Linked DNA regions of Lonchura striata. The protein of the gene in region 2 interacts with the protein of the main gene of each other region in a pairwise test. Links are inferred from orthologs where the notes say so. Each region holds a gene or a part of one and is shown on either strand. Other genes may lie near its edges.

Region 1 (7,899 bases), on a different chromosome or scaffold from region 2:
ACTCAATACAGAGCAAAAACTGGCAAAAAGTGAAAAACGTGGTAGAAAGGGGCAACCCACATTTTGCCTGGCTTGTTATGAGTCCATAAAATGCTTTTTATAAGGGGAGATTTGGAGGGGGGGAAAGAGTGAATTCCAAGGATTTCTGTTTGCCTTTCAGGTGTACAAAACCCACTCCCCAGGCTGTGTAAGAGATGTATCACTCACCCAGGCACAATTCCCACCTGGAACTCTTACCTACCCGCACCTCCCCGCAAGGAGAGCGTTCAGCCTGGAGCAGAGGCTGAACAAGGTGAGCTGGCAGCACCAGCAGCTCCTGGGGCAGGCGAGGTGGCTGCAGTGGGTGCTCTCAGCTGCTGGCCCACGGCAGGGGCCAGGAGCTGCAGAGACATTCCAAAAAGCAGCCCCTGGAGCAGACTCAGGCAGTGCTCTGTGATGGCTGACCTTCATCCCGGGGAGCTGACACGGCTGGAGAAGGCAGGAGAACAAATTTCAGCAGCTCCTTCTGCCGGTAATACAAAATGTTCAGATGCATAAAGGTTATGACAAGCAAGCGTCTGGTAAAGAGGTCAGGCTGCCCTGAATGTGCTGCAGAAGCCAAAATAAAGTCTAGTCAAGCCTATATGGAGTCCGAGCACCGAGGCAGGGGAATGATGAGGCCTCTTCCTCCCCAGTGGTGGCCCCAGAAAGCAGTGGTGAGGCTGCTGTTAAAACAAAAGTATGGCTGAGTGTGAGGATATTTGCCTTGGGCAGATATATGTTTTGAGAGACCGGGGTCAGTGGCTGTTTTAACCACGTTGTTTCATCCCCACTGCCACATTTCCTGAGTTTTCCACTTAAGTGGTATTTTAAACAGGACACAGGTATGCTGGTGGCATTCAGCATCACGCTCTAGAGGGTAAAATGTGTGTGTGTAACCAGGTGTTTCTTTCTGTCCATCTATCTCGGGGACCATAAACCAGCAGTGGACAAAGGGGGAGCAAAAGCCTAGTGCAAACAGAGAGGAGGAATGATTGTAGAACCCATAGGACAGAGAAGAGGAGACACCATTTTATGATTTACTCGTGAAGCACCTTGTTACGAAAATTAACTTTAATTTGTCCAAATTATAACTTTAATTTTACACATGGTACAGGGACAGTGTGCTTGAGGTTTTCATCATCAAGGATATAACCATGGTGTGGTTGTACACACTGAAAAATCCTGATTTAAATATATCCACTGAAAAGAACAGGAGCCTTCCTGGAGAAATATGCCAACATACAAGAGCCAGATCTGATTGAAAGGGTGCTCTAAAGCTGAGCATGTGCAAGTGCCTGGCTGGCACTGGAAGCTGCTCAACACAGAAAAGAATGAGGAAAGCTGAAGATTGTGCACAGTTCTCCTCTTAAGAGGTTAAGAGACCAGAGCTATGGGCACCTGGGCATTCACAGAAAAAGGGATTCCTCCCGCATACTTCCACAGAATAAAATAAAGACATCCTGACAGAATCCAGCCAGATAACTACAAATTATGAATTTCACATCAGGAGCTCAGGAGGATGGAGAGCACTGCAAACACCTCCTGTTCAAAAATGTGCTGTTATTACCATATTTTTTTTAAATTTTTAAAAGAATCCAAAAGATTCCAGAAATAAACTATGTTACAACACCTATAGGGCTGTGTTTATATGAGACTGGAAGCTCTTTTGGGGCACAGCACATCTTTCTGCTCTCTGCCTGTACATCACCCAGTACAATGGGCTTGTCCATGACACCCCATTCACCAAAGTAACGAAAGAAAGGCTATTTGACAAAAATAAAAGTTCTTTATGACAGCAGAATGATGAAGGATAGACACGCAGTTCCCACTTCAGCTCTGTCTTTACACAGCAAGACATTAATTGGCAAATAAGACGTTACAATTTATGCTGCATCAATGCCATGACATGCATAGAAAGGACACTTGTTCTGCTCAGAACCGGCGCCCGTAGCAGCCACAGCTGTACCCAGCAACAGTAAAAATTTATGGCACATGAAGATCTCTCTGGTTCAATTTGAGGACATGAGAGCCTGTGTGTGGTTGATAAAATCAACCAACCACACATGTGGCAGTCCAGGATGGTTTCAGGTGAAAATGTCTGATCTTCCTACAGGGAATCTCGGGAGGGTTATAGTTTTGAGTTATTCTTGAATTATTGACAGAGTCCTGCATAGGTGTGCTCATGTGGCAATCCTAGCCCTGTTGTACTCAGTGAGGATCTTCCCTTCAATTTCTGTGACACAGAATTGAACATTTCCATCTTTCCTAAGGAGTACAAGAGCTAATGAGTAATTCAGACAACAGGACCATTTTCACAAGGCAAACAGTAGAAGAATGGATGGGAAAACTACAAGAAGAAAAACACGTACAGTACAAGGTTGTTGGAAATGATGGGGTAGTGTCAATGAAGGATATTGTAATACAAGATGCTCAAGAATTCAGGTTTAAATGTAAAAACTTAATTTTGACATTTGCATTAATAATGTGACATTTGCGAATTTCTTAATGTACTTTTTTTAAAAAAAAACAACCAACAGCCTAGAATATAGCTAATGCTCACAGATGTCTGCTTTCTTATACTTCAGCATCATTTTGCTATCTCCCCATGCCAAAGTATTGCAACAAATCTGTGATTACTCAGGACACCCATATGCCGTACAGCATGGCTACTACGAGCTCCAGCGAAACAGCGGGAACACGGCCCATGTCTTCCGAGTCTGAAAAGCCCAAACCTTTTCTGCTCCAACTCATCCCATGTCCCCATCATTTGGGGCCTGGGTGCCCAATGTCATCGAGGGGTACGAGTGAGCAGCTGAGAAACGGAGTGACAATGCTGGAGGGCTGGATGGGGATGGTGAGCGTGTGAGGAGAGGATGGCGAGTGTGAATGGGGGCGTGCTCTTGGGGCGTGTTCCACCGTGGTTTGTCGCCTGCACTGGGCCAAGCCTTGGCATCCCTGTCCCTCGCTCCTGACCCGCATCCCTGGGAGCAGCGCTCCGGGCTCAGCCCTTGGCCCTGTCCTCAGTATGAAACTGAGGAGCAGCTTCCATTAAATGCCATAAATAAACAAACACGCCATGCAAAAATCACAGCTATGGATTTCTCCTTCCTCCTAATCCCATCCCTGCCTTTTTTATATGTTTAATTGAATATATTTATTTATTTGTCAGGAACATAGCAGTGTTTCCACTGGCAGGGCTCGCTCGTGGGCTCTCCCGCCGCCCCGCAGGATGCTCGCTGCATATCCCCCAGGTCTCCTGCTGCCGTTTCCCGGTTTGGGAAGGCCGGGGCAGAGGCAGGAGCGGCGGCGGCCCCGCAGCATCCCGAGGTGCAGCATCCTCCCGGTCCGGCTCCGCTCCGCTCCGGGTTTTTCTCGGCGCTCGCTCGCGCCGCCGCCGCCTCCGCGCGCGCCGCCGGCGCCGCCGCCTGGGCGGGGGGAGCCGGGGGGGGGAACGGGAGCGCGCGCGGAAGGGAAGGGAAGGGAAGGGAAGGGAAGGCGGGCGGGCGCAAGCCCCGTCCCCGCGCGGCCGCAGAGCGGAGAAGCGCCGGCGGAGCGACGCCGAGCTCTTGTTTACCAGCGCTCGCTCTCCGTCGTGCACAGGGAGGCAGCGCGGAGGAGAAGGAGGAGGAGGATTGGGGGGGCAGACGCGGCAGCAGAGCGCTGCGAACCCTGCTGCAAGCAAGCGGCGAATTAATCGGGAGGAGCAGCAGAGCAGCAGACCCTTCCCCCCCCCCCCGGTCTCCCTCCCCGCCCCGTTCCCTCCCCGGAGGAATTACAGACCCTTCGCAACAAGCTCCTGGGGTTTGACCTTCAGCAAACCGGATCGCCTTCCTCGCCCCCCGCAGCCCCCCCTGCTCACACTCACACACATACACACACCCACACCCCCACACCTCTCCCGGATCCCCCTCCCCCTGCCTTGGGCTGGGCAGCGCCGGGGGAAGGTTCGCAGCGCGCGCGCACCCAGAGGAGGAGGGAAAAGAGGAGGAAAGGGAGGAAAGGAAAAAAAAAAAAAAAAAAAAAAAAAAAAAAGGAAAAGGATTTACAAATTCGCTGGGTGGTTTTTGTTGTTGTTGTTGTTGTCGTCGTCCTCCTCCCCCCCGCCCCCGCCGCGATGGCAAGGCGGCTCGGAGGGATGCGAAGAGGAGAGCTGCGGGGGGAGGAGGCGGGGTGCTGAGCGCTCCGCTCGCCCCGCTGCTGCTGCCGCTGCTGCTGCTGCTTTGTGTGTGTGTCCTGGATTCGGCTTTTTTTTCTCTTTTTTTTTTCCTTCTTCTTTTTTTTTTTTTTTTTTTTTTTTTTTTGAGAAGGACCTTGTGGCAGCCGCGCCGAGGAGAGGAAGAGGAGGAGTAGGGGGGGAAGCCTTTTTAATTCATTTTCGACCCAAATTCTGCATTTCGAGCCTCTGCAGGCAGCCGGACTCGTGGTGGCGGCGGCGGTGTTGTTGTGGGTGGTGGTTGTGCGTGGGGTGTCCCCCCCACCCTCCCCGGCGGAGCGGGGAGCGGAGCCGCGGGGATCCCGCCGGGGCAGCCCCGTCCCCGCGCGGGGGGACGGCGGAGCTGTTGTTGTTTTGTAATAGGATTGTCTGGGTCGCGCCCCCCCCTTCCCCTCCCTCCGCGGCCCTCCCAGTTTTTGTGTCTCTGTGTGTGTGCGTGTGTGCGGTGTTTGAAAATGGAGGTTGAAGATGCCGACTGCCAGCCCCGATGTGCCTCGTGTTTGCGGCTCCTGTGCACGATGTACCACCGCAGCCAGCGCTGAGGGGAGACGGCGGCGCCCCCCGCCCGCCGCCCCGAGCCCGCCCCGCCGCCCCGGAGACAGCGTCGCCCCGGGGCTTCCATGCCTTGTTGTTGCCGTTAATACATCGTGAATATCTGTGTATTTTTGGTGTGCTTGCTCCGGAAGATCAACACCCAGGGACCTCAACAACCCTCCGGTTTGCCGCTCCGAAGGGTCGTGGTTTTTTTTTTTTTTCCTTTTTTTTTTTTTCCTTCATTTCTTGAGGCAACGTGGATTTATTTACCCTGCCCCGCTGCTCCTCCGCCGCTCGTTATTTTTAGAGGACGGGGAGAGGAAAGAAAGCGAACAATTTTGGACTTCTTTTTGCTTTGTTTTGTTTTCGGAAAGGGGGATTTTGTCCAATTAAAGAAAGAGGAATGAAGTCTGGCGCTGGAGGAGGGTCCCTCGCCGTCGTCTGGGGGTTCCTGCTCGTTTTCGCCGCACTTTGTCTGTGGCCAACAAATGGGGAAAGTGAGTACAGTGCGTGCCCGGGGGTGCTGCGGGGCACCCCGCGGTGAGGGAGCCCCCGAGTCAGGCTGCCGGGGAGGGGGCGAGGGCGGCGGCTGCCTGTGCGTGTTTGGGGGGGCGTGAGGGGTACCGGTGTTTGTGTGTGGGGGGCTCCCTTGTGTGTGTGCGTGTCCCTGTGTGAACGTGTGTGTGTGTATGTGGGTGTTGCGCGTGTATGTGAGGGGGGGTCCCTGTATGAATGTGTGTGAGTGGGCTGGTGATGGGGGGGGCTCCCTGCGTGTGTGGGGATGCGTGAGGGGCTCCCTGTGTTTGGGTGTGTGCGTGAGGGGCTCCCTGGGTGTGTGTGTGTGTGAGAGGGGGCTGCCGAAGGGGTTCCCCGTGTGTGCGAGGGGGTTCCCTGTGCGAGGGGCTCCCTCGCCGTGTGTGTGCGTGAGGGGCTTCCCTGCGTGTCTGGGCTGTGTGCGAGGGGCTCCCTGTCCTTGTGGGGGTCCCTGTTGGCCCCGGGGCCCGTGCGAGGGCTCCCTGCCCGCGGCTGTGAGGGGCGCTCCCGCCGTTTCCCGCCGCGGCGCCGAGCGGGTCTCGCCCCTGCCCGCGGGGCTCTGCGTGTTTTCCTCCTGTTACGCGTCTGCTCCTCCAGCACGTTTAACAACCCGGGGCTGCGCGTCTCCCTCCCTGCCATGCCCGCCTTCCTCCCCGGGAGGCGGCTGCCTGGCTGTACACACGGGTCGGCAGCGCCGCAGCCCCGAGCCCGGCGGAGGGGGCCGTGCCCCTCCTTTGTGTCCCCCCCGAGCGCGGGGCAGCGCTCAGGCGCCGCAGCCAGGGCTGCGAGCTGCGTAGTAAACACTCGCGGGCTGGGGAGGACTCCGCTCGCTTTCCCCCTCATGGAAGGAGCTTGATCTCTGTCAATATTTAGAGGCTGTATGCAGGAACCTGCTGTAGTGAGTGAGGAATTCCTGGAAATGAACGCCTTGCCTTTTACCGCCGAGGAGGGGTTTCACTCGCTGTGTGCGGAATTACGGCGGCATCCCGCAATCTAAAGGTCACGGGCTGCCGTTAATTTTAAAAAGGGAATTAATTCGCACATTGACGTTTGTGCGTAAATAGAAAGGTTTGATGGCGGAACGGGCTGCGATCTGAGGGGGATGCATTTTTCCAAGCGGCCGTGTTGCAGCCAGCGCCGAGGTTGGAGCAGCGTGCGAGCCGCTTCCCCGGGAGCACCGGGAGAACGTGGATCGGCTCCCTCCTGCCGCGGAGCCTCTGCCCATCCCCGCGCCCGCCCGCCTCGCTCGGGAGCTGCCAGAGCCCCGACTTTGTTTTTGTGCGTTCCCAACCTGTGATTGTGTTGCAGTGCCCGCCCCTCTCGGGCGCAGGGGGAATCGAGGGGGCAGGGAGGGCTGCGCTGCCATTGATTACACTGCAATCATCGCCGGATTAATCCCGGGGCTGATCGGTTTTCTCCTGGTATGTCGGGCTCACGCTGGATTGAGGATCTCTTGCATGAAATTAGCCTTCCCTTTTCTTCCTGGAGTATTTCTGTATACGGGGAGATGGTAAATGTGCCTTGGAGCCCAACCATTTTAAACAGTGCTCCCTCTCCTTCAGCGTCTGCAGAAACAGGGATGTTCCTGTACTGCATCCTGATGCTTTAATTTCTTCTGCCGTGTGTTTTTCAATACACTCCTGGAGCTGTTGTGTGCCTCTCCCTTTCAGAAAGATATGCGCTGTTGGAGGGAAGGAACGAGGAGATCAGATTTCTCCATTTTAAATGTAAAGGGAAGGAATTCAGGAGGCAGGAGGGCTTTTCTACAAGTAGTGGTTTCAGATTGAAAAGAAAGGGAAGTTCTTTGGATGCACTGGCAGTGAGGCCAAGTACACAAAAAAAGATAAGTGAGCAAGAAGCACATAGACGGAGCCTGTAATGCATGTTGAGTAATAATTATGTTTCGTTAGGCAGTAAATGCCTGTTAACTCCTTGCAAATTAAGGCCCAGTCTAGGCTTTTGGGCCAGCTACGGCTGGAGAGCTGCAGTCTTACTTCCATGAGTTGAACTTTTTGGCTAGAGCTGTTTTCAAGAAGGGAGATTAATCTTTAAGTTCAAAAACAAAACCCCCGTGCCCTTCTTCAGGGAAGGGCTTACAAAGGATCCAGTAGTGTGGAGAAACAGAACAGGAGGAGGAGGAGATTTGATGCATCCTTAAACTGCTAGGATACACACTTAGAATTGTTTTCCTTGTCTTACCTGGTACAAAGTACCTTGAAATAAAAATGCTCACCCAACAATGAAGTAACGCAGGAAGAGTATGTCAGGATTTTAGGTTCTAGTCCTCTGAAGTGTTTGTGGTTACCACTTACCTAAAATGAACATCCCAAATGAAATATCTTCTGAAGAAGATCCAGGCATTTAAATACGGGAAGATATGCTGAAAAACTTGTCTTAGCTGAATACTGCCTCTAATCGATTGCCTTTGTAGTTTACAGTTTAATAGCCTTTGTTTTCACGAGTTATTGCTGAAAGAATTTTGCTGTTAGGGGGAAAAATGATCTCCAGAGCAGATGTTTTACATCTCTTCATATTCTTCTCTCTCCCCATAATAGTGGAAGGAAGATTAATCTTAATTTTTATTTGTTTTTCATATA
Region 2 (7,073 bases):
ACCTATTTTCCCACCCCACATTTCAATGCTCTGAAGAAGCACCTGAGTGTATTTCACACACAAACACATACACACACTTCCTAAGACAGAGCTGAGCTGGTCTAAGCAGAAATTATACCTAGAAATCTGGCCTCATTTAGCACCATCACCTCCATAACCACGTGCAGAGAGGCACAGCAGAAGTGAGCAACAGTAGGGTCCCACCCAGAATGACACCAGCCAGGAGCCCCTCAGTTTGCCTGCTGCCACTGCTGTGAGCACCCACGGAAGCTGATGGTGCCTCATAGGCTAGAGGGACATCTGCTTGTTTGGGGCTGTCAGAAAATAAATTCCCAGCGCAACACTCTGGTGCTGCTGGCAGAAGCAGTGCATGACCCAGCTATGCCTCTCCTCTGCCAGCTGGGAACTCCCTGCCTTGGAAGGATACCTCTGCCAGAAAGATCCAGATACTTTTTACCCATTACATCCCAAGCACTGGTGAGAATGTAACCAAAGATTTCTAAAAAAACTTTCATAATAATTCTTGCTAGAGTCATTTAAGCACTCGCAAGACAGAGGGCTGCAAACACTTGTTTTATTCACAGAGTGCACACTATACACTTCAGCAGAACTGAGATGCAGAAATCCATTTTGCATTTAGGCAGAGCTTTTGGACTATGCATTAAAAAAAACAGGAACACGCTACTGAAATCCAGGTGTGGCTGTATGTGAGGATAAAAGCCAGCTCACACAGTGCTAAGAGAAGGGATAGTTTGATTAACAAAACCAAGGAAAACCATGGAAGTACCACAAGATCTTTAATATGTAGCCAGGGCAAACAAGACCTACTTTAAGAACAAATAACGTCCAAGTGAAGAAAATAAATCAGACCAGAACATGGTATAATGATCACCAGAGGCAAGCGTCACGGTCTGCTGCTCTGTCGGTTTACTGTTTGCAGGAAAGCTACCAAACAGTACTCTTCAGGCTCTGCTGTTTGCTCGACACTGTGCTGAATTTTAAAGAGTCCAGGAGTAGCGAAAGAAAACCCAGGCAGCTCTGATATTAACGTATACCTGTACAAAGATAGCCAGAGGAATACAGCTCTGGAACAGCTCTCCTCCTTATGCTGCTCTGAGAGGTTAAGCCCTGGAGGAAGACTAATAGCATGGGAAGAGCATCCTGCTTAACTCCCACACCCTGCTTCAGCCCCAAAAGCATCATGAAGCACAGCCAGAGCTCTCATCTAAAGTTTCAAGCATATTTCCTCTTTTCCAAGCAGATTTTCTAATCTCCATGTGTTTGTGGTGCTTTTTTTTTTTTAACCTGTCCTCGTAACGCACACGTTTTAATCCTAGGATTAGCTTTGTTGCCCTTCTCTGTACCTTTCTAGAGCTGTAAGTACAACTACTAGCCTCAGAACGCAAGAATAGATGGAGCTGGAGTGTTAATGCATCCCACAACATCTCTGTTAAAACACACATGCACCTTTAAGAGGCAAAACAATTTCAGCTGCCCCTTAGAAGCATAACTGAAGGTGGCAGATGCCCACATCCCTTCTATTCTGCCCCCTCCTGCTTTGCCCCAACCCCAAATTCATTCTGTCTTGGTGAAGAGAAAAGCAAACCACATTATTTGAGTCTGTTTTAGACGACATGATCAATGCTGCTTTGACATACCAGCAACACATGTTCCCATTTCAACAAATGGGAGCATTTCAGGCAGACCACCACTTCAGATGGAGTGGGGCTCCTGGCTGCTGAATCAGCACTTTCCATCCTGCTGGCAATACAGAGTTATGCGACGCTTCAAAGGAAAGCGGGGAAAAGGGGGAAAGGGGTGGGAGGGGGCGCTGGCACTTGAGCAACAGAAGCGGGCAAGAGGATTGTGCAGGAGTTCATCTGCCAAACCAATTAACTGCAAACTGTTCTTATAAAGATGCCACAGTTTCAGCCCCGGCTTGCAGCGCCGCGGTTATACAAGGAGAGCCACGGGTACCCGCCTCTCCCCGGCGGGGAGCTGGGGCAGGAGAAGCTCCGCGCTTCCCGCAGGGAGGGTCTCCCGGGCTAACGAGGGGCTGTCGGCACGGCCGGGAGCTCGGCAGGGCCGCTCTCCGGCGGGCACACGGCCGCCTGCCGCCGCACATCCCCACCGCGGAGGAGCAGGAAGGCGGCAGCACCCCGGGGTGGCATTTCTGCGAACTGCCCATCCGCCAGCCCTCCCGCAAACCCCAAACGGAGCAGGGGGAAAACCGGGGAGTTTCAGCGGCACCACCAGCAGTTGGCGGGGCAGGTCTTCGCTCTCCTCCAGCGCGGGGCGACGGGAAAGCCCGGCTCCCGGCACCGCCGGGGCGAGGCGCGCAGCAGCGAGCGAACAAAACGCGGCAAGGAAGCCCCGAGACGGGAAAAAGGGCCGATCCTCCGAACCCCGAGGCCGCCGGCGAACCCCGGCCGGCCCCGGGGGCTCCGCGCCGGGCGGGGGGCGCTCCCCACGGGAACTGGGAGGGGGGGGCTCGCCGGCGGCCCCAGGAAAAGGAAGTTTGCTCTCCTCCTCCTCCTCCCACCGGCCTCCGCTACCAAGAAGCCGGCGAGCCCTCACCCACCCCGGCCCGGCCTCACCCCGCTGCGGCTCCCCAGGGGCGGCGGCCGCCGCCCCCCTGCGCGCCCCCGCCGCCCCCCGGCCCCTTACCTGCTGGGCGGGCAGGCGGCCGGCACCGTGCCCGCCGGGCGCCGCGCACCCGCCAAGTTCGGGGCGGGCGCAGGGGGTCGGGGGAAGGGTCGTGCGCGGCGGGGACGGGAGCGCGGGCGGGGAGGGGGATCCTCGGGGCGGAGGGGTGGAGTGGGGCGCGGGCGGGGGAGAGCGATCTCTCGGAGCCACGCGCCTTAAAACCAACAATAACAAAAGAAAAAATTAAAACAGAAAAAATATTTAAAACCATACAATTAAAAAAAAAAAGCAATTAAGTAAAAAAAAAAAAAAAAAAAGAAAGAAAAAAAAAAAAAAGCAAAACACACCCAACGCGAACGGGGACGTTCGCGCCTCCGCAAGGCGTCCCCAGGCTGCGGGAGGGGTCTGCGGAGAAAACTTCTGCCTGCCTGTCCGCGCCGCCGGCTCCGGTGCTAACGGCGCCCGCCGCCGCCGCGTTCTCCCCTCGCGCCCAGCTGACTCCCGGCGGGCCCCGCCCCGCTCCCGCCCCGCTCCCGCCCCCGCCGCACGCAGCCGCAGCCCCGGCCCGCGCCCCGCCGAGGGCAGGGGGCGGCCGGGAGCCCCGGCGGCCGCGGGCTGTGTGGCGGCGGCGCCCCTGCCCGCCCTCCCCCGTCCCGGGGCGAGCGGCGCTGGAGGCGACACGTCGTGGAGCTGTGGCGGGTGTCCTGCCCTCGAACAAAAGCTCACCCGCAGGTAGCACCGGCGCGTGCTTTTCTTGGGAAAGGCTGTTTTTTCTTTAAAATAAAACCAACAGAGCATCTGCACACGCGAGGCATTTGTGCTTGGACTTTTTCTTTAAAGTCGTCGGTCCTGTTCTCACCTTTTTCCCCGCAAAACTGCGCAGGGCAAGTCCCCCAGATCCCCTTCCTTCGCTCCCGACAGCACGGAGCAGGCTCCCGGTGTGTGCCGACAGTACGGTGGGCTCTTCAGAGCTCCTCCGTACTCCAAAGCACCCTGCCCTCCCGGGATCCGCAGGCTGCCACTAGCACTCCTACAGACTGCTGCTGCGAACTTCTGTGCGCTGGGACCTTCGCTATTGCACCACGGTAGCTCCGAGCCATCCGATTTGCAAGTAGCTTGCAAATAACTCGGACTGTGGAAAAGCTCTTTTAAGGGAAGCAAAACTGCACGCTTCCCTAAGAGCTACTGGTTTAAAACGTATTGACTTCCAATAAGAGCCGTCACACTCTGTGAGGAGAGGAATATTTACTTCACTAGATGCAAAAACACCTCTCATAAGAAAGTGGTCAACTCTATAAAAGGCAATTGAGTCCAAGGAGAAGAGGGAGAAATCTCTGGGCTTTTCTTCCTAGACAGATGCATGTACACTAATGGGAGTATTGTGGCTGAGCGCCCGAGCTGAATATATTTTGAAATGTAACATGATACCTTCTTTGCTCTTGCTTTCTCTTCCTCCGTGGCTCTTCTTTACTGTATATAAAGGAATGCTTTTCTTATCAGCCCACACTCCGGTCCCCGTTGTTTCCAACCATGCTCTGTTCTCGCTCTGTTCTCACCACTCGCTCTCCCTGTTCAGGTCCTCGAATAATCTCTCCAGTCTCCTTCAATGTGTCACCTCAGCCTCTTGGACACACGTGCCACTCTGCTGCCTGCTCGCTGCTCACCGTGCTCACCAGCCGCCTAGCCTCTCCTCGGCACCGCGCTCCCCTCGGCCATCTCCACTTGATGCAGCGCTGAGCGTTGCTCTTCAGTCTGTCAGCATCACTGCTGCCCGTCCTGTCCTGTCCTGCCCCAGTCCATGGGGCCGTCACTTCCCAGCCTCGTTCAGCGCTCCCTTCCCACCGCCAAGCTGCTTTGTCCCGCCTTCCTGTGAGCCAGCATTCACCCTGATCTTGCGTTTTGTGGGTCCAGCCTCAGAGTGTTGGTGCCTCACCAAAGCAGAAGCTGTCTCCTGTCCAGGTTACTATTTAGTGAAAAGGTGAATGCAGGTGGTATCAGATTCTGCCTGAGATTTCTCCAGAGGCAAGAAGGCACCTACTCACAGTAGGCTGGCATCACAGCCCCACATGCTTACATAAGAAACTTTCAGTACAGATAGATCCAGCCTAGATAGGAAGGGAACGCCAAAGATCAACTGGCCCAGCTTTTTATGGGAAAGGGATGAGATTATCACCCTGTCCAATTGCATCTTGAAAGCCTCAAACTGTGGGGACTCCACCCCACCCCTGGAGATGATTTCCCTGTGGGTGATTGTTCTAACTCTAAATTTTTTTTTTCAGTGAATCAAAATCAATGTGAAACCTCTCCTCGTGAAATTTGTACTGTTGCCGCTTGTCTGCTCCCTGTGCCTCCTTGTGAAGGAAAATCTCCATCTTTTTTGCAGCCATGCATGTACCTGTATGATTTGACCAGGTTTTGTGCAATAGGTGTCCAGTTTGTGCTGCTTTCGCAGAACCCGCTGCTGTGGGCATGGTCAAGGACTTCAACACATGCCTCTTCCACACGCTGTTTAATGCTATTTGCCCCCTGGCACATTCCTTAGCTGCGCAATGCAACAGTTATACTTTGTCATCTGTAGTATTTCCACCCTAGAATATCAATTTACAGCCCTGCGTTACAGCGTGTCCTCAAAAAGTGAGAAGTGAAGGGAGAGAAATTATATAACTGGTCTGGTGCTGCAGAGCCAGCCAGCCACCAGCAGGATTGCATTGCAGGGATTCCCATCTTCTAAAACATCCTCTTCTTCCCCGAAAGTCCTGCTGCCTCAATCACTAAGGCAGTTTGCACTCTCCATCTTGAAACCAGACCACCTTTATGACCGTGATGCTCTGCATCTGACACTGAAGGGAAACTGGAGGGATAAAGCTCAGGTATTTTTGAAGCATCACGCAGGCAACTACCTGGCTGCCTTCCAGTATGCTCTTCCTTTGAGTGTGCTCACTGTTTCTCATATATAAGACTGCTGATCCATCAGTTAATCATATTAAGTACCTAAAATTAACTTTTAAATTATTAATGCATGAGAACATATCCGTTTGTCATGTACATTATTTTAAAGGATTACAGTGTGTACACTGAGTGTCATTAACATTATATTTTGAAGACAGTAAATTGACTTGTATAGAAGTCAGAAGAGTTGATGGACTTCTCTAAAGATGTCTTTGACAATGATAAAATGTTCAATTGAGTTATTATTAAGCATGTGTCTGTACTTAAATCTCTTTCTAATACATACAGAAATGACTCCTCAAGTCTTATTAGTATAATATTTTTCATTTTGTGGTGGGTTAAAAACATAGATACACATGAATATTGGAAATACTCATCTGACAAATAAAAACACTAGGAAAGATATGTTTAGTTTCCTAGACTACAGCTGTGTCATTCAAGACAAAACTGTACTGTCATAAGATTGTTTATCCAAAATAGCACCGCTAAAATGGTTAAGTGGAGAAATAGCAATGCATTTTTTCAGTAGCAGTGAAGGACATGCTTATCTTTTCTCTTAAATAGTGAATCTCTGGCAACACCCTACACAATTCTGTATTGTGAAAATAACAGCCTAAAATGCTGATATTTTCCTTAGGAAGAAAAGATGATCATTTTCTGAAAGAAAAAGCACACAAGAAATAATGTTTGCAATAATGTACTCTGACTATGTAAACATTTTTCCTGCTCAAGGACAGTCCAAAAAGTAAAGGCAAACAGCCTTGGCAAAAGCCTTGATGCCTTCAGGACTTTGTACCCAGGAGAAGTTTGTCCCAGCTCCCTGTTTTCTTCTTCTTTCCGCAGTGGTTAAGTTTTGGGTTAGAGAAGACAGATTCCTCTGACCCATGATGGAAAAAGAAGATGGAAGAACTAATGAGACTCTCTGGCTATGCTCAAGGGAATCCAAGCCACTGGGGGAGAAGAGGACAGGACGTGCAGTCCCATCCTAGCTGAAGAGGGTCTTGCTGCCCTGCAGCTTCCAAGCTCAGAACCTGTGGTGCAACTGGACTGAGGATATCATTATAGTCTCTTTTTTGTCTACCTCAAGATACCCAGAAAGCCCAGAAAAAGCTCTTTTTGCCATTTATGTGCCTTAGGAAACTTGCATTATTGCAAGTTTCTCATGTGTTAGATCCAAAATACAAGCAGAATATAGGCATTCTCTCTGTACTTAGCACTACATTTAAGACTCAATACCTCATAATAAATGGCTGCTGGAGTTCAAGTACTGTGGACCTGGTTTGCTTTCTGCAGACTTGAACTCTGTAGGGTGACTTCTCATTTTGAAACCTAGCCAAAGGACACTAAGCTCACAATTCAGTTAGTTCCAAGAGAGAAAAAGGTCATTCTCATGTTTTATTAAATAGATTAATGAAAAACTGTCTAGTAGATATGAAATTTTCTTTAGAAACATTATTATATTTCATATATATACTGAG
Region 3 (7,829 bases), on a different chromosome or scaffold from region 2:
CACAAGAGGGCCAATGCCATACAGACTGTCACTTAAAGCACTTAATACTTAGTGCCATCCATAACTTAGGCACACCTTGAGCAAACTTACTACGTTTTCTCACTTCCGGTGATTTACAATCGAGATCCTTTATGGGAAAAAAAAAAAAAAAAAAGGTCCAGAATTGAGAGCAAGAGACACAAGGAGAGGCTAAGCTGGGCTGGAAACTGACTTCGTTCCTGAAAGAGCAAACCCCATCCCCCTGCAGCATTTCACACACCTTGCATTTCAAATGTCACTCTATGAATTAATATAAATTGATGAGAAAACCACACAAAGCAAGAGTCTCTTTCAAGGCAAATGCTTCCTCAGTAAACAAAGAAAAAGGTTTCTCCTCACCAAGGCATCCAATGGCTCTCTAGCAAGCTCTGTAGGGAGAAAGCTCCCTTGCTTTGCCCCATGGCTTCATCTATAATCATGAATTATGTATAGTTTATCTCCACTAATATTTGAGCAGAAGCACTGAAGGGGAAAAAACTAATAAAAAAATAAAAATTAAGAAAAAACTGCTAGGAAATGGATTTTTTGTTTGCTAAATCAGATTATGAGAGAACTTAATACCATACTTCGAAGAGTCCGAGGGAAGAATTTTGAAGACCTCAATGAAAGAATAAGAAACATATATATGACAGTTACTTGAACTTGCAAGACCAGACAAAAGTAGGCAAAATCAAATTTCACATTCTTAGTAATCAAAATAAATAAACAGAGCTGGGGGGGAAAGGGGAAAGCACAGATCTTAGTGCACAGCTCATCTTCACCAGCTACTGTGAACCAGTGTTTTCTCTTCGAGGTTTAAAGAGAAAGATCTTTCAGCAGAGGGATGTACCAGCACAGCCTTCAGCCACTCAGCTGTCCCAACAACTTGTTCCATGGGACTCTTGACATCTAGGGTTGTTTTTATTTTAATGAAGTATATATAGAGCTTAAAAAACTGCTGGTGTTTTTTTTTTTTTACATCCAGGTATGAAGAACTCCAGTTTGTAGCAGAACTTCATTCAGACAACTGGCCTTAGCAGAGAGATACAGAGTGCTGCTTAGGTTCAATTCCTTAAAAAACCCAAAACCTACTTTGCATTCCCTTTTTACACAGCTTTCTTCCTAAACTGAATAGTAAAACAGGAAGGAAAAAATTAATTACAAAGCCCTCAACTGTCTACAAACTTTTTTTTTCACTTACATAATCACAGGGCTCATAGCTTTAGTTTAATGTATATTTTAGAAACAGAAGCAGAAATGCTAATAGGAGTACCTCAGGATATTTTACAATGCCAAGGTCAACACCTATTAAAAAAGAAACAGTCCAAGTTTTCATTGTGGTATCAAATTTTTTTTAAGCACCCTGTGAAACAAATAATTGCTTCTCCAAAAACACACTAAATTTTAGTTCTATGCTCCTGCTTTAAAACACAGGCTCAAGAAACCATTCAGAAAAAGGCCCCAAAAGAAATGCAGTGACCAGGTGTCCTCAGGCATATTCCTGTATCCGGGGGCTGGGAGAACCTGAGAAGCTCTTTAAGCCATTCAACCCCAGTATTTACCCACAATATTGTCAGACACTGAAACAGTTTATCAAAGTCTCAACATAAAAGGTGACATCCAACTTCCAGGACTAAAATTCTGCCTTCTCTTTAATCCAGCAGACTATTAGACAGAAACTTTATTTTTTTTTTAATCACACATTCATTCAGAAATTAACACCAACACACAACCACTGACATCAACTGACCTGTTGAACTACATGAACCTGGGGAGCAAAGCAGGTGCAGAAGGGGCCATGGACACTCAATATTTCTGCTGGCACCCCCAGGATTAATTAGGTCACACATTTTCACACCAGCATCAGCTAGCTGCTCATAGGATACCTATTCAAATGCATGGCAAGAAAACCAATACCTCATTGCAATAAAGCTCTTATTATCTACTGCAGTCACCACCCAATAACAAAACTTAAAAACACCAAAACAAAGCTTTTGTTGGCGACAACTGCAACCAATTTTGTTTACAAAGTTTTCCAATTATCACATTGTGTATCAACCAAATGCTCCATTCACATAACAGCAAATTAATTTTTGTTTATTGAAGAGTTTCTTAAGAACAAAAGCAACCAGCAGAGTCATAAGAAAAAAAATTCACACGTACTTTCCAGGAACTTGCCCAAGTCAGCTCCTGAAGCAAGAAAAATAAAACGTGCAGCAAGAAGTTAGAGGAATATAATCAGAATCCAAAAGTCCTTTCCCCACCCACCCAAGCAAACAGATATTCAAGAATTACAGTAAAAGCAGCACACCACAAACGTTGAACTGAATGTTACTAGGGGAAATGTGGATTTTTATTGCAGAAGCACTAGTGGGCAATACCTCTTTTGTGCCTACACCTTGTGTCAATTCAAAGTGCAATCATAGAGAACTGCAAGAGCCATAAGTGCTCTGTTGACACTGAAACTACTTGTCTTGGATCAATACCAAACGTACACAATTCTGATCGATGCTCTCTTCAGCCTGCCAAGGCTTCTCCAGTCAAACACTGCCGGTCACCGCTGCTCCCAGCACCCTGCTGCCTGCGCGGGGGAAGGCTCGGAGCTCCCTCCTTCCTCGGCCAGTGTAACCCGACAGGGCCGGGCGTGCTCGAAGCGGGGCTCACCGCGGCGCTCCCGCTGGGCTGGGAGGGGACGAGCGAGTTCACAAGGGTCAGTGCGAGGGGAGACGGCCCCGGAGGGCGGTGAGGAGCGGCCCCGCCGCCGCCTGACAAGTACCAAGGACCTGCACGGAGAGCTCAAGGCCTGCTCGCCCCAGCTCCAACGACCCCTGCAGAGGCCCATGGGGAGCGCGGGGGGGCCCTCCAGGCGCACCCCCCCACCCCCCTGGGCGGCCTCGCCTCCCGGTTAGGCCGCGGGGCGCCTCGGTGCTGCGGCAGCCGAGGCGGACGGGAGCCGCCGGCAGGGCCGGTGGTCAGACGGGGCGCGCGACGGCGGGGGCGTGGTGGGGACGGCCGGGGCAGCGGCGGGGCCGGGCGGCGGCGGGACGGCGTTACCTGCGCTCCCGGGCGGAGAGTCCCTCACAGCCGCGGCGGCTCCTCAACCCAACAACACAAGATGGCGGGTGCGCCGCCACGCAGCGTCACGTGAGGGCGAGGCCACGCCCCCCGGCCCCGCCGCGGGACCCGGATGAAGCAGAGGCGCTTCCCGCCCCCGTGTGACGTCATCCCGGAGAGGGGCGGGTCTGCAGCGCCCCCTGCCGGCCGCGCGGGCCCGCCGCGGCCCCCCCAGCCCTGAGGGAGATGGCAGGGCCGGGGGTCCCCGCGCCTCCCGCCCTGCCCGCAGCCCCGGTAATCGAACCGCTGCCTCAGTTCCCCTTGCACCCGGCACTGGTAAGGCCGCACCTTGAGTCCGCTCTCCAGATTTGGGCCTCTCAATTCCGGAAGGATATTAAGGGCTGGAGCACGTCCAGAGAAGGGAACGAAGCTGAGGAAGGGTCACCAGTCTGACGAGGAGCAGCTGAAGGAGCTGGGGGCGGGACTCAGCCTGAAGACAAGGAGGCTCAGGGGGGCCTCTCCTGCCCTCCACAACTCTCTGTGGGAGGAGGGTGCAGCCGGGGGCTGGGCTCTGCTCCCAGGGAACGGGGACAGGACAGGAGAACGTGGTCTCATGCTGCAGCAGGTGAGGTTTAGGTTAGACACTAGACAGAAATTATTCACAGAAGGGGTGATTAGACATTGGAAGGGGCTGTTAAGAGAGGTGGTGGAGTCCCTGTTTCAGGAGGTGCTCAATGAATACCTGGACTTGGCACCCTGGTCTGGGTGATAAGGTGGGGAGCAGTCTCAGGTTCAACTCGATTATCTCAGAGGTCTTTTTCAACCTGGATGATTCCGTGATTCTGCCACCTTCTCACACATACACACAGGCGGCCTCAGCAGCGCAGTGTGGCTCCCAGCCTTATCTGTTTCTTCTGTGTGGTTCCATGAGGCAATTCCATTTTATCGATGGCCACAACAATCTCTGTGAGAAGCCACCATGTGTGAGCACACAGTGCCCAGGCACCGAGGGCTAGACCTGCTCTTGCCCGGGCACTGGAGGAGCCCTGAGGACACTTTGCCGTGGGAGTCACCCTGGGAGGCAGTGGCAGCAGCTGCTGTTGCTGCTGAAAAGAGAAAGCGCATTAGATGATACATATTTTGACTCTTCTGATGGAAAAATCAGCAGCTCAAGGCAAACTTTCTTCAGCTAAAAATACCAGTTTATTTTTAGTCCCCAAACCCATATTAGTACATGAGGCAGAATAGCCCCATGTGGTTCCTTCAGCGTAAAAAACTATTCTTGGCTGTTACGCATTGCTGAAGGTATAACCGTTTTCAGCTGAAACAGTTTCACTCTAATCATGATGTCAGCCACAACCCATGTAGCTTTCTCCATCCTCTTCTAGGTGAATAAATACTTGTCATTGTGTACTGAATGATAGCCAAAAATGATGCAACAGTGAATACTACTGATTCTTATGAGCTAATGGGTTGAAAGCCTGTAATTCTTGGGGCTTATTTTTAGCTGAGAGCTACATAGGACTACCTCACCCAAAAAATCTAGAATGGAATTTCTCCATTAGGAGGCTGGTATGGAAAAGCAAAGCTCCCTAGAAAAGGGCTGGCCTCTGATAAGCTGCATTCAATCCCCCTGGTTGTTGTCACACAGTTTGAGCCAATACTAATAATGATAGAGAGAGACAGTGCTGCATTTCAAGCTGTCAGTGAGAACTTCCAATTTCATTGCAGAAGCAGCTGTGCCTTGTTATTCTACTTATCAAATGTGAGTTTGAGCACTCAAAAATATTTTCACATGCTCTAAGACAACTTTTATCTGAGATGGAAGATGTTTAGCACTTGTGGAAATTTTTTTAATCCCAGTTAGCACAAACATTATATTACTGAGACAAAAAAATTCAAATTCAAGAAGCATCTGAAACATTCCTAATCTGCAGAACTTGGCATTTCTGTAAAATACCTCTAAGGAAACTCAGATGACAATCTTTTGGTAATAGCAGATGCATCTTAAATCTTCCACAACTCATTCAAGCAAAACAGAGAGAATCTCATGAAAATTCAAGACTGTACCCGTGTGGTAAAATTCCTGACTGGCTCAATGACAGAATGTCAGCTGATATTGTGTAGGTGTGAAATCACCCCAGCAGCCAGTCTGGGTACCAAGGGCATAATGTACTTCAGAGCCCTGGATTACTGTGCCAATTCATTCACACTATTAAAAACCCAAGAACAGGGAAGCTGCCTCCCCAACAAACTACAAGCTTTCCTTACTAACCCCTTGTTTTCATCCATTCTGGCTTGGAGGCAAGAGCCCACCTCCCTCAGTACACTGGTCGAGTTATGAACACAGAACACAGCTTTGAAATGATAAATAATGATCACAAAGCAGCCCAGAAGAATGTGTCAGAGTCATGTTTCCCCTTGCCACTCCTGCATTTTGTTACTTGGAAAAGTGGTTCCCCTGCTTGTTGAAATAACCAGGGATTTTGTCTGGGAAGAGTCAATATGTTCTCAGCAGCCTCTGTTTTCCATGTCCTCATTTGTCACATCCCTAAAAATAATGAAAACAGCAGCAAAGCAGGCAAACATCCAACTGCAGTTTTTAAAGTCAGTCACTTCAATGCATTTGTCACCTCAGGTGGCTTGTACTGAAAGACAGAGTACCACAAACAAGCTGCTACTTCTGCAACACCCAATTACTTCTGAATGTCTTGGGTTTATTTGGACACTCGCATAAGGTTGAAGTGTTATTTTGTCACCTTAATCCTCACACATAAACCCCAAACCCTGTGCCAGGAAGAACTTGATCACACCATTTCTCTTTCTCTGCACTGTGACCACACTAAGCTCTTCAGGTGAGACTTCCTGCTGCCATAGGCTGTCCGCTGCAGCCAATGGCAATGACTGTGACAGGAGCATCCTTGAGAAATCCACTGCAATCTGAGCATCCAGACAGGCTGAACCCACCTTTGGTGCTGGCTGAAGTGCTAGTGACTCCTGTCTTGCATTTTGCCTACTCTGGGCAAACTAATGTTTTGTTAAACAAAATCCCATCAGAGATCAAGGACTACCTGAAGTTCCCATTCTAGATGAATGACTTGAGGCAAGTATTTATCCCTTCTGAGAAAGACCACCAAGTGCAACAAGTTTTTCATCAAGCTTCTCTACTTGCCGCCACCAACTTAAGAGTCACTTGTGGCATGTCAGAAATACCAGAGAGGCATTAATATACCAGCAGGCACCACTAAAGAGCTGGGATTGCCAGGACCTTTGAGAGCCACCTGTGGTGACTCAGGCATAAAAGAACAGAGCATCAAGGATGTAGTAGATAAATTACAGGTAAATACAACTAAGTGTTTTCACATGGTTTTAGGTGGGAGATACAGCTAGACAACTTCTCTTTAGTACTTCTACACAATCTAATGACACTGTTATCAAATCAAATAATTGCCAGTAAAACAGAACAATTTAGAAAGTGATTCATTTCCTAATGTCCATTTTTGCAAAGCTGATGTCAAAACGCACATTTCTGCAACTTCCAAATAAATGCACGTCCAAAAGCACTTATTGTTCATTGCACTGAATGCAGGTCCCAACTAGCAGCACCAGTTTGAATTGAACAAAACCATAGACAATGATAATTTCCTTACTGAAACTTGTCAGCTAGAGTTGACTTAATTCTATTAAAATAAAACCACTGAAAAGCCTTTTTTCACACTCTTCTCCTGCAGGTTTGGACTCCTTACCCAGCTGCATGTGCAAAGCAGCACAACTCAGCAGTGCTTGCTATGCTGTAAAGAAAAAAAAAAAAACAAAAAAACAAAAAAAAACCACCCCAAAATAAAAATCAAGAGCTGCAGTGTCACAATTTTCCTGGGGAAATAGAGACTAAGGAACCTTCACCCAGATATTACCTGACCTCTGAGACCTGAGGATTCATAGACACAGTGAATGTATTGGCATAGAGCAGAGATACATGGGATAAAATATTTATATTGATGAATATGAATATATATATTTATATTCATCTATATAAAATATAGATGAATATAAATACTTCTGTTTCATCACTGGACCTGAAATGAGGCATGGTTAAACCTCTTCCTGAACCCCCTTCTCAGTGTGGCAATGCCAGCAAAGCTTAGTAGATCAGCAATAGTACAAACAAAATGCTTGGAGACATATTTTCAGGTATCCATGTATTTTTCTTTTTTCTCCCTTAATAAAGGCAGAAGCAGGAAATGCAAAGGGAATTCCAGCTGAAGTAACCTGCCAGCTCCCAGCTGGGGCACTACAGGGGCTGAGACAGGTTATTTTAAGATAAGGAAAGGCTGACAACCTTCAGATGTCAACATTTAGCAGTAGGCAGTATTTCAAGTATTTACACAGCCATGTGCCTTTCTGAGGGAATGCAAACATTAAGGCTTTTTACACCAGAACTGCTATGCAAAAGAGGAAGTGTTATCAAGAAGGGGCTGAACACTTCCCCCACTCATCCAAGTCAGGATGCTGAGCTTTGGGGATTACTATTAAAATTTGTGAAAAATGCTATATTCAAAGACCTGAAATAAGCCACAAACAAGACTGGAGATAACAATGCTTTATTTTTACATTTCTGCAACAGGAGAAATAATTGAAGATGAAATTATCTGCTTTTTTGTAAAGTATAAAAACATTTAATTATAAATATTTAGCTACAAAAGCGTGATTTATAAAATATAATCTGTGAAGATATATACACAGTTTAATCGTTTAGC

The links.
Region 1: the proteins of GRB10 (region 2) and IGF1R interact in a two-hybrid assay, tested with the Homo sapiens proteins (4 studies listed by BioGRID and IntAct). The link is inferred for Lonchura striata from reciprocal best matches to the Homo sapiens genes GRB10 and IGF1R.
Region 3: the proteins of GRB10 (region 2) and GIGYF2 interact in a two-hybrid assay, tested with the Homo sapiens proteins (2 studies listed by BioGRID). The link is inferred for Lonchura striata from reciprocal best matches to the Homo sapiens genes GRB10 and GIGYF2.

What each region holds. Positions count from the first base shown.
Region 1 is NC_134613.1:20,974,158-20,982,056, reverse strand, and holds the start of IGF1R (insulin-like growth factor 1 receptor), read left to right. Parts: upstream 1-4,859; 5' UTR 4,860-5,171; coding exon 5,172-5,265; intron 5,266-7,899. UniProt on the Homo sapiens protein: Receptor tyrosine kinase which mediates actions of insulin-like growth factor 1 (IGF1). Binds IGF1 with high affinity and IGF2 and insulin (INS) with a lower affinity. The activated IGF1R is involved in cell growth and survival control.
Region 2 is NC_134603.1:69,035,646-69,042,718, reverse strand, and holds the start of GRB10 (growth factor receptor-bound protein 10), read right to left. Parts: upstream 3,172-7,073; 5' UTR 2,994-3,171; intron 2,760-2,993; exon of another isoform or gene 2,668-2,759; intron 1-2,667.
Region 3 is NC_134612.1:7,095,338-7,103,166, reverse strand, and holds the start of GIGYF2 (GRB10-interacting GYF protein 2), read right to left. Parts: upstream 3,161-7,829; 5' UTR 3,073-3,160; intron 2,209-3,072; exon of another isoform or gene 2,182-2,208; intron 1-2,181. UniProt on the Homo sapiens protein: Key component of the 4EHP-GYF2 complex, a multiprotein complex that acts as a repressor of translation initiation. In the 4EHP-GYF2 complex, acts as a factor that bridges EIF4E2 to ZFP36/TTP, linking translation repression with mRNA decay.